Linked DNA regions of Mus musculus: all the other regions are reported to be linked to region 1. Evidence: microRNA targets listed by miRTarBase, many of them from high-throughput screens and not tested one by one. Region 1 holds a microRNA gene; each other region holds the end of a gene's coding sequence.
Evidence for each region. Region 1 holds the annotated microRNA mmu-miR-27a-3p (UUCACAGUGGCUAAGUUCCGC, at 2,062-2,082, shown strand). A microRNA usually pairs through its seed, bases 2 to 8, with sites in the 3' UTR of a target mRNA and lowers its output. Matches are read on the target gene's strand: a 7mer-m8 pairs with bases 2 to 8, a 7mer-A1 pairs with bases 2 to 7 and ends in A, and an 8mer does both.

Region 2: the mRNA of Pparg is a reported target of mmu-miR-27a-3p. Seed matches in the 3' UTR shown: 8mer at 604-611.
Region 3: miRTarBase lists Bmpr1a as a target of mmu-miR-27a-3p. Seed matches in the 3' UTR shown: 7mer-A1 at 645-651.

What each region holds. Positions count from the first base shown.
Region 1 is chr8:84,206,666-84,210,815 of GRCm38, forward strand. Mir27a (microRNA 27a) reads left to right here and starts at 2,007; the gene lies at 2,007-2,093. Mir23a (microRNA 23a) reads left to right here and starts at 1,853; the gene lies at 1,853-1,927. It overlaps Mir24-2 (microRNA 24-2), which reads left to right and starts at 2,150; the gene lies at 2,150-2,256. Mir3074-2 (microRNA 3074-2) reads right to left here and starts at 2,242; the gene lies at 2,160-2,242.
Region 2 is chr6:115,489,680-115,493,679 of GRCm38, forward strand. Pparg (peroxisome proliferator activated receptor gamma) reads left to right here. Exons shown (of 8, transcript NM_001308354.1): 8 at 269-722. The coding sequence ends at 516. Among named protein-coding and RNA genes, the nearest start is that of Gm36301, 28 kb to the right of the region's middle.
Region 3 is chr14:34,410,818-34,414,817 of GRCm38, reverse strand. Bmpr1a (bone morphogenetic protein receptor, type 1A) reads left to right here. Exons shown (of 13, transcript NM_009758.4): 12 at 1-58; 13 at 149-3,750. The coding sequence ends at 274. Among named protein-coding and RNA genes, the nearest start is that of Mmrn2, 37 kb to the right of the region's middle.

The DNA.
Region 1 (4,150 bases):
CATCTCACCAGCCCGACCCTGATGTTTTATAAAGAAGACGTGTGTGTGTGTGTGTGTGTGTGTGTGTGTGTGTGTGTGTGTGTGTTGTCTGGTCTTTGTGCATGACAGTGCAGTACACTCAGAGACCAGAAGAGGGAGTGAAATCCCCAGAAGCTGGAGTTACAGGTAGTTGTGACAGGTGCTGAGATCCAAACTCGGGCCCTCTGCAAGAGCAGTAGCCACTCTTAACCACTGAGTCAGCTCTTTATCTGAAACAAGGTCACTTGTGTCACTATGTAGCCCTGGATGGTCTGAAACTCCCTACACAGACCAAGCTGGCCTTGAACTCTTAGAGATAGTACTGTCCAAGGCCTGGTTCTTGCTTTCCTTTGCCTTTCAAGTGCTGGGACTAACAGTGTGCACCACCATTCTTAAGTTTATTTTTATTGTCTGTTTGTGAATGTTTGCTTACGCGTACGTCTGTGCACCATATGTATGCCTGGTACCCACAGGGGCCAGTGGGGAGCGTTGGAGCTCTTGGGAATGGAGCTATAGATAGCTGTGCTTGTCATGTAGGTTCTGGGAAAGAAACCTGTCATCTCTCCAACATTGAAATTCTTTAAACAATTTTTAAAAATTGTGTGTGTGTGTTCCCAAGTGCAGAGATCAGAGGACAACTTGCAAGGGTCCGTATGCTTTTCTTCTTCGTGGTTCTTGGGTTTGAGCTCAGGGCATTGGGCTCCATAGCAGCTCTGCTCACTTGCTGGATCAGCTTGCTGGCCCCTGAAAACTTTAACTGGCACGCAGGACACTACTCTACATTGGGTAGGCCCCAAATTTTGTGGCTTGCCCTGGTACTGGGTGCTAAATACCTTCTCTGTAAGTTTTCACTGGCCTTCCTAGTAGAAGGTTTGGGGTTTTGTTGTTTTATTTTTGTTTTTCTTCTATTTAAGACTAGGGTCTCAAACTGTAGCCCAGTTAGGCCTAAAACTCATCATGTAGCTTAAGCAGGCTTTTGACTCCATTCTTGGCAACCTTCCTGCCTCAGTTTCCTCAATGCTGAGATAAACGTGAGCCACCAACTGCAACTGTTGTAGTCTGCTTTACAGATGGGGAAACTGAGGCTTGGAAGGCCTAGGGGAAACTTTACTGAGGTGTTATTGTTGGGGTGCATCGGCCTGCTTCTCCTTGCTTGGGCCCTAGGTGGTGTGGGGTGGGGGTGGGGTTATGTCTGAGCTGGCTGGGGAGGAGAGGGCTGAGGTGGGAGGCCCTGGAGTTTCCTCCTGCCCTTCAGGCTTCTAGGAAGTGGCGCCAGCTGGGGTGAGGTCACTTCCTCCCTCCAACCGTCCACCTCCCTCAGCTTCCTCTCCATGGCCCCATTTGGCCTGCTTTGGGCTCAGGGCTGTGGGTGGGGATAGAAGCAGAGTGGGAAGCAGCTGGGAAGGCTCTGCAGCCCCTTTGGCCTTAGGGCTTCAGGCACCTCCCGCTTTGTAGGGCTGGGGTAGAGGCACTGCTGGGTGCCCAGCATCCAGCAGCCTCGCTCCAACCTTCCTACGGATCGATGCTCCTCTTTTTTGGGAATGCTTCTTCCCTCTTGGAAGTAGAGGAGGGCTAGGGTGTGGATCAGCAAGCTGAGTTTAGATTCTGTCCCCAGCACCACTTAAACTGTGTGTGGTGAGGTGTACCTATAATCCTAGACTCCAGAGGTAGAGGCAGGAAGAACTGGTGCATTCGGAAACCTTGTGTTCAGCTATGTGAGACCCAGCCTGGTCAAGATAGGCAGGCAAGCAAGAATGCTCCAATCTCACTGTCTCTTCTTTCTCTCTTTAGGTGCTACACTCCGCTCCCACCTGCTGCCCCCCTCACTGTGCCTCGGACGGCTGGGGTTCCTGGGGATGGGATTTGATGCCAGTCACAAATCACATTGCCAGGGATTTCCAACTGACCCTGTGCTCTGCCTTGGGGGCTCCTGTCGCCAAGGATGTCTGTCTTGGGTACTGGGTAACAGAGAAGCCTATCATGACAACTGGCCTGAGGAGCAGGGCTTAGCTGCTTGTGAGCAAGGTCCACAGCAAAGTCGTGTTCACAGTGGCTAAGTTCCGCCCCCTGGACCCCATCTCCTCAGGCCGCTGCTGCCCACCCTGCTCTGCCTCCTGGCTGGCAGGGCTCTGCCTCTCTCCGGGCTCCGCCTCCCGTGCCTACTGAGCTGAAACAGTTGATTCCAGTGCACTGGCTCAGTTCAGCAGGAACAGGAGTCCAGCCCCCTAGGAGCTGGCAACCCTGCAGAATGTCTGCCGTGAGCAAGACCTGGAAACAATGGGGTAATTAGTCCAACCTAAGCCCCGTTGTCTGCTGGAGGCTCAGCCTCTAAGCCTGCATCTGGGTGTCCACCTTGAGATTTCTGTGGTTCCCCAAAGCAGATAGATGGGCGGGTAACCCTTGCATTAAAAGCCAGTTATGTCCCCTCAGGGCCTGGAAGCCCTTCTTTTCCTAAGTCTGGTGGGGCTCAGGCACCACCCCTTATACATACCATCTTTGAAGTCAGTTACCCAAGAGGAAGCTGCTTTAGGCCCTCTAACGGTTAAATGCCAACTCTCTGCTTCCGGAAGAAGGCACTGACCTGATCCAGTGTGCCTAGCAATCCCATGGGGTCTGCAGCTTTCTGCTGGTGACAGCGAGGCAGGGAGCGAGGTCCACACAGGCCTCAGGATATGAACAGATCCATGCCCCCCCCCCCCATTGGCCTGTTGAAGTAATCTCCAGGCTTGGAAGTTAAAAAGTTGCCTACTACCCACAAATGAGACTGCATGCAGACTAATTGGAACTGGCTGAGTTACACTTCCCAGACCATACAGTGTCCTCTCCCTACTCTGGGCAGGGGCAAATCGAAGCCTGGGTGGAAGAACAGAGTTGAAAGCTTGTATTGAATGTTGTTCTCCAACTAAATAAAAGCTCCACAGCCTCATTCCGTAAGGGCTGACGTCTCTTCATTCCCGCCTCCCACATGTGTGTTGCTGGCTTTTTTCATTTCTCTTGAAACAGCATTTCTGTGTAGACCAGGCTGACCTTGAATCAAACTCCTCCAGTGTCTGGAGTTTGGGAATACCAGCTGCACCACTATATCTACCACACCCTGGGCTCCTAACCTGCATTGCACCTATCCCCAACCTTGCTCCACCTGCTTCTAGGAAGGTGTAAATATAGTTCTGTGGTCAGTAGGTGCTGCGACCTGAAGATCCTGGGATCCTTTGGGGATGGCTTGAACGGGAGGGATAACCCAGACCTGGGGTGTATGAGACCAATCTGTGGTCACCCCAGTTCCATGAGGGAGTATGTTACAAGAATGTACTCTGCCTATGCTGGGATGCACTGACTGGCAAGATGCCAGGGCTTAAGGACGGGCACATATGCGCGCACAGACAGACACGCGCGCATGCACACACACACACACACACACACACACAGGGCTTAAGGACGGGCACATATGCGAGCACAGACAGACACGCGCGCATGCACACACACACGCACGCGCGCGCGCCCGTCTACACACACACACACACACACACACACACACACACACACGCACGCACGCACGCACGCGCGCGCGCCCGTCTGCGCCAGAAGGGCTAAGGGGCGGATCGCCTCTGATCGGCTCCCTGGAGCAAAGGAACGCACCATGAACTATGGCCACACTCATAGTCACAGCCAGCTCCCATAGTGCCCCACAGAGGCAACACACACACACACACAGCTTCCAAGAGAACGGTCCTAAACAATGACCCTGTCAGACACAGCTAAGGACATAAAGAACCGGAGAATGAGAAGAATGCCCAGGCCGTCCGCTGGATGAATCCATCTAAGAACGGGAGTCTCATCCACAGCCCAAAAATGCAATGGGCAGGTCACTGGGGACACAGGCGTCCCCAGCTGCCCTCCGCACCTGGTGAGACCTCCGGAGCTCCGAATGACGTTGTCTGGAGCCAGACGCCCCCTGGTGGTCATTTCCTGCAATGAAGGACAGTGCAATCTGGGTGCATTTTCCAAAAACCTACAGACTCTAGGTTTGGGCGTTTTAAGCCTCCTGACTTGCAGAGATTATGACATGCAGATGGAAAAGCAGTAAAGCCACCAGCAAGAGGTGGCTCTTCGTGTCACCACGATGCCATGAAGA
Region 2 (4,000 bases), not on the chromosome of region 1:
GGCATTGCATCAGTTAGTCCTGGTTGGGAAGGGCTTGAGCCTTTGATTCCATCCTTGGGTCTTGCCCATTAGCTGCAGAGCCTCGCTCCACGAACCTGCTTAAGAAACAGGGCGGTGATGGGGTCTTGGCTCTTCGGTAAAGCATGTGCCTAACAGCTCGAGAACTGGGTTTCTTCTCCAGCCTGGGGAGCAGGGAATCTGAAGCTGCACTCCTTAGAGCCCCAGAGGAGGTCTGACAAAGCCTCTTTTTGTCTTCTCATTCTCCCAGACCGCCCAGGCTTGCTGAACGTGAAGCCCATCGAGGACATCCAAGACAACCTGCTGCAGGCCCTGGAACTGCAGCTCAAGCTGAATCACCCAGAGTCCTCTCAGCTGTTCGCCAAGGTGCTCCAGAAGATGACAGACCTCAGGCAGATCGTCACAGAGCACGTGCAGCTACTGCATGTGATCAAGAAGACAGAGACAGACATGAGCCTTCACCCCCTGCTCCAGGAGATCTACAAGGACTTGTATTAGCAGGAAAGTCCCACCCGCTGACAACGTGTTCCTTCTATTGATTGCACTATTATTTTGAGGGAAAAAAATCTGACACCTAAGAAATTTACTGTGAAAAAGCATTTAAAAACAAAAAGTTTTAGAACATGATCTATTTTATGCATATTGTTTATAAAGATACATTTACAATTTACTTTTAATATTAAAAATTACCACATTATAAAATTGTTTATAGTATTTAAAGAATGAATGCATGTCTCCCATTCTGCCATCACAGATGGGGGAAAGGATTTCCTCATTTTATTTCTTTTCTTCTTTCTTTTCTTCATCCTTTGACATGCATATGTGCTCATATATATGTTTATGTGTGAGTAGATGCTGTGTATGTGTATGGAGGCCCAGAGACAGCTCTAAAGCTGGCTCATTCTCAGGACTGTCATCTACCCACTTTTAGACAGGGTCTTTCATTTGGCCTAAATTTAACCAATTAGGTTAGACTAGAGGGTCAGTGAGCCCCGGGGAACGGCCTGGCCCCACCCGCCCATCACTACCCTGTCTGGCATGTTTAGGTGGATTCGAGAGGAGGGGAGGAGCTGGACTCAGGTCCTCATGCTCTCAAGGCTTCACAAGAACCCAAACTTCTCCCACGACTCTGAGTTTTCACGAATCACCAGCAACATGTTTAACATATTGTCATCCCTCTATACTCATGGGGTCTGGCTCCAGGCCTCCTGAAGGAGCCATGGGTGTTCAAGTTTTCATAACAGGAGTTTCAAGTAAACTCTGCATACTGTCCCCTATCCTTTGAACTGTCTCTAGATACCTACAATACCTAACACAATGGAAATGTTGTAAGCTGTATTATAATAGCTGGGAATCATGACAAGAATGGGAAGAGTCATAAAATTCAATAATTCACTAAAATGCCCCCAGAATGTTTGCCCCATGGATGTAAACCCTACAAGTTTGAAGGTTTGACTATACTGCCTACTAATGGGACACCAATGTGGCCCGAGGTGTCATTTCAGCACTGCTAGAAGCTCCAGAGAGCACAAATGTTTTAAGTGTTAACACTATGGGATTGGGTGCTCACCTAGCAAACAGATAGCCATAGGTTTGATCCCTACCACTGCAAAAAATAAAAATAAATAAAAAATAACAAAACCAAAAGCAATCAAAAAAAAAAAGTCACGTTGAAAGAGATCTCTAATTATAGCACTTAGGAAATGGAGGAAGGAAGTAGGATCAGGAGTTCAGGGTTATCTTTCTTTTCCTTTTTTTTTTTTTTTTTTTTTTTTTTTTTTTTTTTTTTTTTTTGACAGGGTTTCTCTGTATAACCCTGGCTGTCCTAGAACTCACTCTGTAGACCAGGCTGGTCTTGAACTCCGAAATCTGCCTACCTCTGCCTCCCAAGTACTGGAATTAAAGGTGTGTACCACCACTGCCTGGCCAAGGTTATCTTTCAATATTGCCTTTCTATCAAGGCCAGCCTAAGATACATGAGACCCCCATCTCAAAAGCAAAGGGAATGGGTGGCTGGAGAGATGGCTCAGTGGTTAAGAGTACTGGCAGCACCCATATCAGGTGGCTCACAACCACCTGTAACTCCCAACTACAGTCCTTCTGAAGCTTTCTTTGGGTAGCCACACACACACATGACATATACATACCCATAAATAAAATATTTTAACTTAAAAATATGAAAGGACAGATGCTTTAGTAAGCCATACAAGGCTGATCACCTGCTTCCCAACCATGGAATTCATATAAAAAGTTGGATCGATAGCATGCATCTGTAATCCCAACTCATGATGAGACAGGAGGCAGAGACAAGACAATGTCCAGGAAGCTCTCAGCCCAGTTAGCTGGAATATTCACAGCAGTAGAGACAAGAAAAACCCTGCTTCAAAAGGTTGCAAGTCAAGAACCAGCTCACAAAAGCTGTCTTCTGACCTCTACACACAAATAAATAAAAAAATAATTATTTTTAAGACGTTAAAGAGTCTGCCAAAATGAGCTTATCATTCAATTAAGAAGAAAAACATGACTCTTTCTTAAAACAGTATAATGCGGGTAACTAATTGTGTGCTGGATGAATGGTTGGGGCTCTTGGTCACATGCTAGGGGACCGTTTGTGGGGAAGCGAAGATTCACAAAGACTGACAAGTCAGGGTGGAACCTGTGGACTCAGGCAGGCCTCAGGATGGTGCTGAATTGAGGCTCTGCAAGAAAGACAACAAAAGGCATTACAGGAAAGAAAGCCAGAAAGAACAACCGAGCAGAAGAGGGGAGGGCCTTGCTGCTCCCTGGCCCTAGATATAGACAGCAGAGATACGGTGACTCTCAGGACCATTTGCCCAGAGATCCCTTACTTTGCTAAACTCAAAGGCTCATGCTCCATGTTATGTTTGCGACAAGTGCCAGAGCAGGTTATAAATTGTTCCCTAGCGTTAGAGGCTTCTGGGTTGTTAAAGCCATCAGATTCACATCATGTCTTTAAAGCATGCCTTGTTACTGAATGATCCTGAAGTCTCTGCTCTCCAGGATGACTGTTCCCAGGCCCTAACTTAATCCCTTCATTTACCGTAACAAGTGGTGTTTCTACCCAGGAGACTACAACTTTAGAGTTGAGGGGCTGTCAAGCCAAAACATCAAGAAAGGTCTTTCTATCCTCTTGGAAGGAAATGTATCTCCAAAGAATGAGATTATGAAAGTGAGCCTTGACTCCAGCCCTAAAAATATACAAATGCTACATCCCTCAGAAAGGCAACCTCAGAGTCCAAACGTTTAAAATGACAGAGAGAGCTAAGCCACATTGGAACCAGAGCCAAGGCTGTGTCTGAGTGACATCCAAACATTTGGAAGGAAGGTGACAAATTCACTCGGCCATATGGTGGTTTCTTTCTGCCTTGATGCAGAGCATCCGGGGATTTTGAAACATCTCGATGACTGCTGGGTGTCTTCACAATGTTGGCGCCACGTTGGGAGTTTATCGGGGAGATGGCAAGAGAGAATGTGTAAGCCACAGGCAAGGTGGGGCTCTCAGTGGGTCCTGGGAGGCGATCCCTTGTTTACAAGGCTCTCAAACAAGAGGCCTTTCAGCTCTCTGCCTGATCTCGGTTCCCACTAGTGCTCCACAGCCTAGCCAAGCCCTTTCCACATTTTCAAGCTCTGTTGCCAATGGAGTGAGGAGAGGGATGCTCTCAGCTCTTTGGCACCAATGCTTAGCGTTAAATAGCTTTTAAATCCTGGCAGCTTTCAAATTCCCATCTCTTGGATTTTTCCCTGTGGCTTGGATGATCATTTGCTAAATATTTTACAACACATTATATTCATCTCTAAAGCTCCTGCTCCTTCCCTGCCCCCACCCCACCCCCAGCATGATTCACAAGTTAATCAACACATGCATCATCGGTTATTCATAGCACTTTCTCTAGGCACAAACACATTTAGGGATGCCTGTTAATAAAAATAGGAAGAAAAGTAACTTTAGTCAAGAGTCAAG
Region 3 (4,000 bases), not on the chromosome of region 1:
GGTTGTGTGTGTGAAACGCTTGCGGCCAATCGTGTCTAACCGCTGGAACAGCGATGAAGTAAGTTGGAGCCAAGTCCCTGTAAAGTGATGAGTGAGTGCCGAGTTACTCTGTGCTCACCACACTCTGTTTGCATTTATTTCTCTTTAGTGTCTTCGAGCAGTTTTGAAGCTAATGTCAGAATGTTGGGCCCATAATCCAGCCTCCAGACTCACAGCTTTGAGAATCAAGAAGACACTTGCAAAAATGGTTGAATCCCAGGATGTAAAGATTTGACAATTAAACAATTTTGAGGGAGAATTTAGACTGCAAGAACTTCTTCACCCAAGGAATGGGTGGGATTAGCATGGAATAGGATGTTGACTTGGTTTCCAGACTCCTTCCTCTACATCTTCACAGGCTGCTAACAGTAAACCTTACCGTACTCTACAGAATACAAGATTGGAACTTGGAACTTCAAACATGTCATTCTTTATATATGGACAGCTTTGTTTTAAATGTGGGGTTTTTTTGTTTTGCTTTTTTTGTTTTGTTTTGGTTTTGATGCTTTTTTGGTTTTTATGAACTGCATCAAGACTCCAATCCTGATAAGAAGTCTCTGGTCAACCTCTGGGTACTCACTATCCTGTCCATAAAGTGGTGCTTTCTGTGAAAGCCTTAAGAAAATTAATGAGCTCAGCAGAGATGGAAAAAGGCATATTTGCCTTCTACCAGAGAAAACATCTGTCTGTGTTCTGTCTTTGTAAACAGCCTATAGATTATGATCTCTTTGGGATACTGCCTGGTTTATGATGGTGCACCATACCTTTGATATGCATACCAGAATTCTCTGCTGCCCTAGGGCTTAGAAGACAAGAATGTAAAGGTTGCACAGGAAGGTATTTGTGGCCAGTGGTTTAAATATGCAATATCTAGTTGACAATCGCCAATTTCATAAAAGCCATCCACCTTGTAACTGTAGTAACTTCTCCACTGACTTTATTTTTAGCATAATAGTTGTGAAGGCCAAACTCCATGTAAAGTGTCCATAGACTTGGACTGTTTTCCCCCAGTCACCATTTTGTTCTCCTTTTGGTAATTATTTTTGTTATAAAAAGCCACCTATCCAGAATTGGAGCTCTCTGTCTTGAACCATACTTTGAAAGAAACGCCTCTTCCGTACTGCATCTGATCACAATGTGCATACCTATGATCAAATTCTGGAGTCTTTGTTCTCGGTACCTCCTAAAAAGGAAAGTTGATTCTTGTGTAACATGCTTTTATTTTCAGAACCTGCACAGCTGTCATTCTAGCCATGTTTTACCTACACACTCAGTTCTATACAAGACAGCCCATACACTCTGTCTCACATCTGATCCTTGGTGGGAAGTGTTTTAAAGTAGAACTATGTATGAATTTCAGAATTCATGCATTTTAAAACTTCACTAAGATATTGTCTCATATCTTTATGAGAATGTCAGCTGACTTTTCAACTAACAGTAAATGTATTTTAGATATCTAAATCTTTTGAAATTTGGTTTTACAATTTCTGGTCCCTAATTGTGAAGACAAGAGGCAGAAGTACCCAGTCACTACCCATATTTACACTGAACGTTATTAAATAAAATGATGTGTATTTTATTATAAAATAAATATAGGCCTTGTTATCTCAAAAAACAGATCTGGTTCAAACTTATTATACCAATATCATACTATTTAAATGTTCTAAGTAAACAAGCCATGTGAGCATCAAGTGGCATTGGCTCTTTGGATGAAACATAAACTTAAGGTGATTGTATCAACACATAGAGTGACTGAAATTAAATGGGAGGCAGGTAGAGCATATGTCCATCTGTCCACCTACAGGCATGACTAAACTACAGCTCATATTCCACAAATTTGAGATTTGTCTTGCCTGGTTTGTTTAGTGAGTCTCATCTGATGTACCTAAAGCCTGAGAGTACTGAGGTCTGATTTTATATCTTTCCTGAATAAACTAAATCTTTTTTGTCACTTATCATCTTAATGATATACCTAAGGAATAATTCTTTGGCATGTTTCAGTTGTGTGTGGCAGCCACTGTAATGACTCTTCTCTAAGAAAGGCTGTCAGGAGTTAATTATAAGGCAGGCAGTGAGCGCTCTAGTCACTGCCTTCCCACGCTGCCATCACTGCATTCATGGGAATCAGTGACGTTCTCGAAATGGCAAACGCTGCTGCTTTTCCTTATTTGGAATCCTAAAATCAAAAGTTGCATTAAACTTACTGTGTTCTCTTCTCCCTCTCAGCCATAAATGTAAAATTCAGTAAGTAAAAATATTTAAAGAGTGTATCAGCCCTTTGGCCAGTGAGATAGCTCAGTAGATAAAGGCATTTGCTGCCAAGTCCTCAACCTCAATTCAGACTCTGGGGGACACATGGCGAAGGGAGGAGCCAACTACCCCATCATTGTCCTCTGACTTCCACACACTCCATGGCTTGCGCCCCTCCCCACAGACACACACCATGTACTCCACAAAAGTAGTTTAAAGGAAAAAAAGAATAGAACCCACTGTGTAATGGAATAAGTATTATGTAGTTACTTAACAACTTGTAAAAATCTGGAAACTATGATTTGGTTCCCCTTTGAATCTAGAGTTTAAAAAACAGATGGCTAAAATCAGCCATCATTTAAATAATTAAAAATAAAAGCCCCAAACCCCAAACTGCCTAAATAAATACCAAGTAATCCAGGAAGCCGTCATGTGTGGTTTGTATGACCAGTAGTTCTCTGGTACAGAGCATGTTAAGATTTGCCCCAGCCTGATTCTCTGAGGTCTCTGCATTACTGAGTACTGTTCTGAGTATAAAATCTGAACTGATTTCTCTAGAAATACTGTAACAAAAAGGTATTTTAGTCAGCATGTTATGTTAACCCTTCCACTGTCTAGAAACTTGAATAAGCACATAAAGACACCTTTTGCTGTCATCATCTGTTGTCCTGGAATGTGCCAGTTTTAATTTATTCATTCTAATGATATTCAATTTGCTTTTCTTTTTTAGATGTTTTTCTTGTTTAGAGTAAAAGGACGAATTTTTCAAGAACCTTGCATCTCTGATTTGGCCTAAGGTCAAATTGGATATTGAGTAGTCTATTCCAGGGCAGATTTCCTAAGCAATACTTGTCTTTTCAGCTATGTATTGTTTTGAAATGTTTCCATTTCAACAGAGGTGTAAGTCATGTGAAAAGAAAGGTGGTGTAGCCCTTGTGGTAATGACACAAGTTGACTTGCGTCAGATGTTAAGCAGGGACAGTTCTCCCACCTCCTGGCTGTAAGGAGTGGAAACTAGGCAAGCAGTGTATCAGTCCACAGAGGACAGGAAGGGTCATCCCATAAAGAAAGCCTGTGAGTATGGCTTTGGCAAAAAATTAGACATAATACTGTCCTTTTAGGTTGTGCTCTGTTCTTTCCTTTCAGTGGAATTATTTAAGCTCTTTAGTGGCCTTTGTTTTTCCCACTTAAAAACTAAAATGTAGCATATATTGTATAAAATGGAAATATTAATAGCTTAGGGAAACTGTACATAAGGCATTGACAGGTTTAAAAAAAGCATTTTTATTATGCAGTTGTAAAACACCAAAAATATAGATTCATCTTGATATGTAACACTAAGTGTATTTTGTACAGCATCTGATTTGAAAGGTGCCTTATGAAGTTTACCATTAATTGCTTTGTTCTATATACAGATTATGTCCAATGTATCATTTTTCAGTAAATAACCTTATTTTAGTATACTTCAGTGATGTGTTTTGTGATGCTGTTCTTGGATTTATTGTGTATCAGACGTCAACTGTTGAGATTTTGTACGTAATGTAAGTGTGCATCCCTACGCTGCTGCGCTTGCATTTCGGCTTCTGGAAAGTCCTGGAGCATGGCCAGGTAAGTGACGCATGCTTTTCCTTCATGTAGATGCCCAACCCACCTTAATGAGGGGATTGTTTTTTCCTTTTATACAAAGAAAAAAAAAAGCCACATTGTTTTC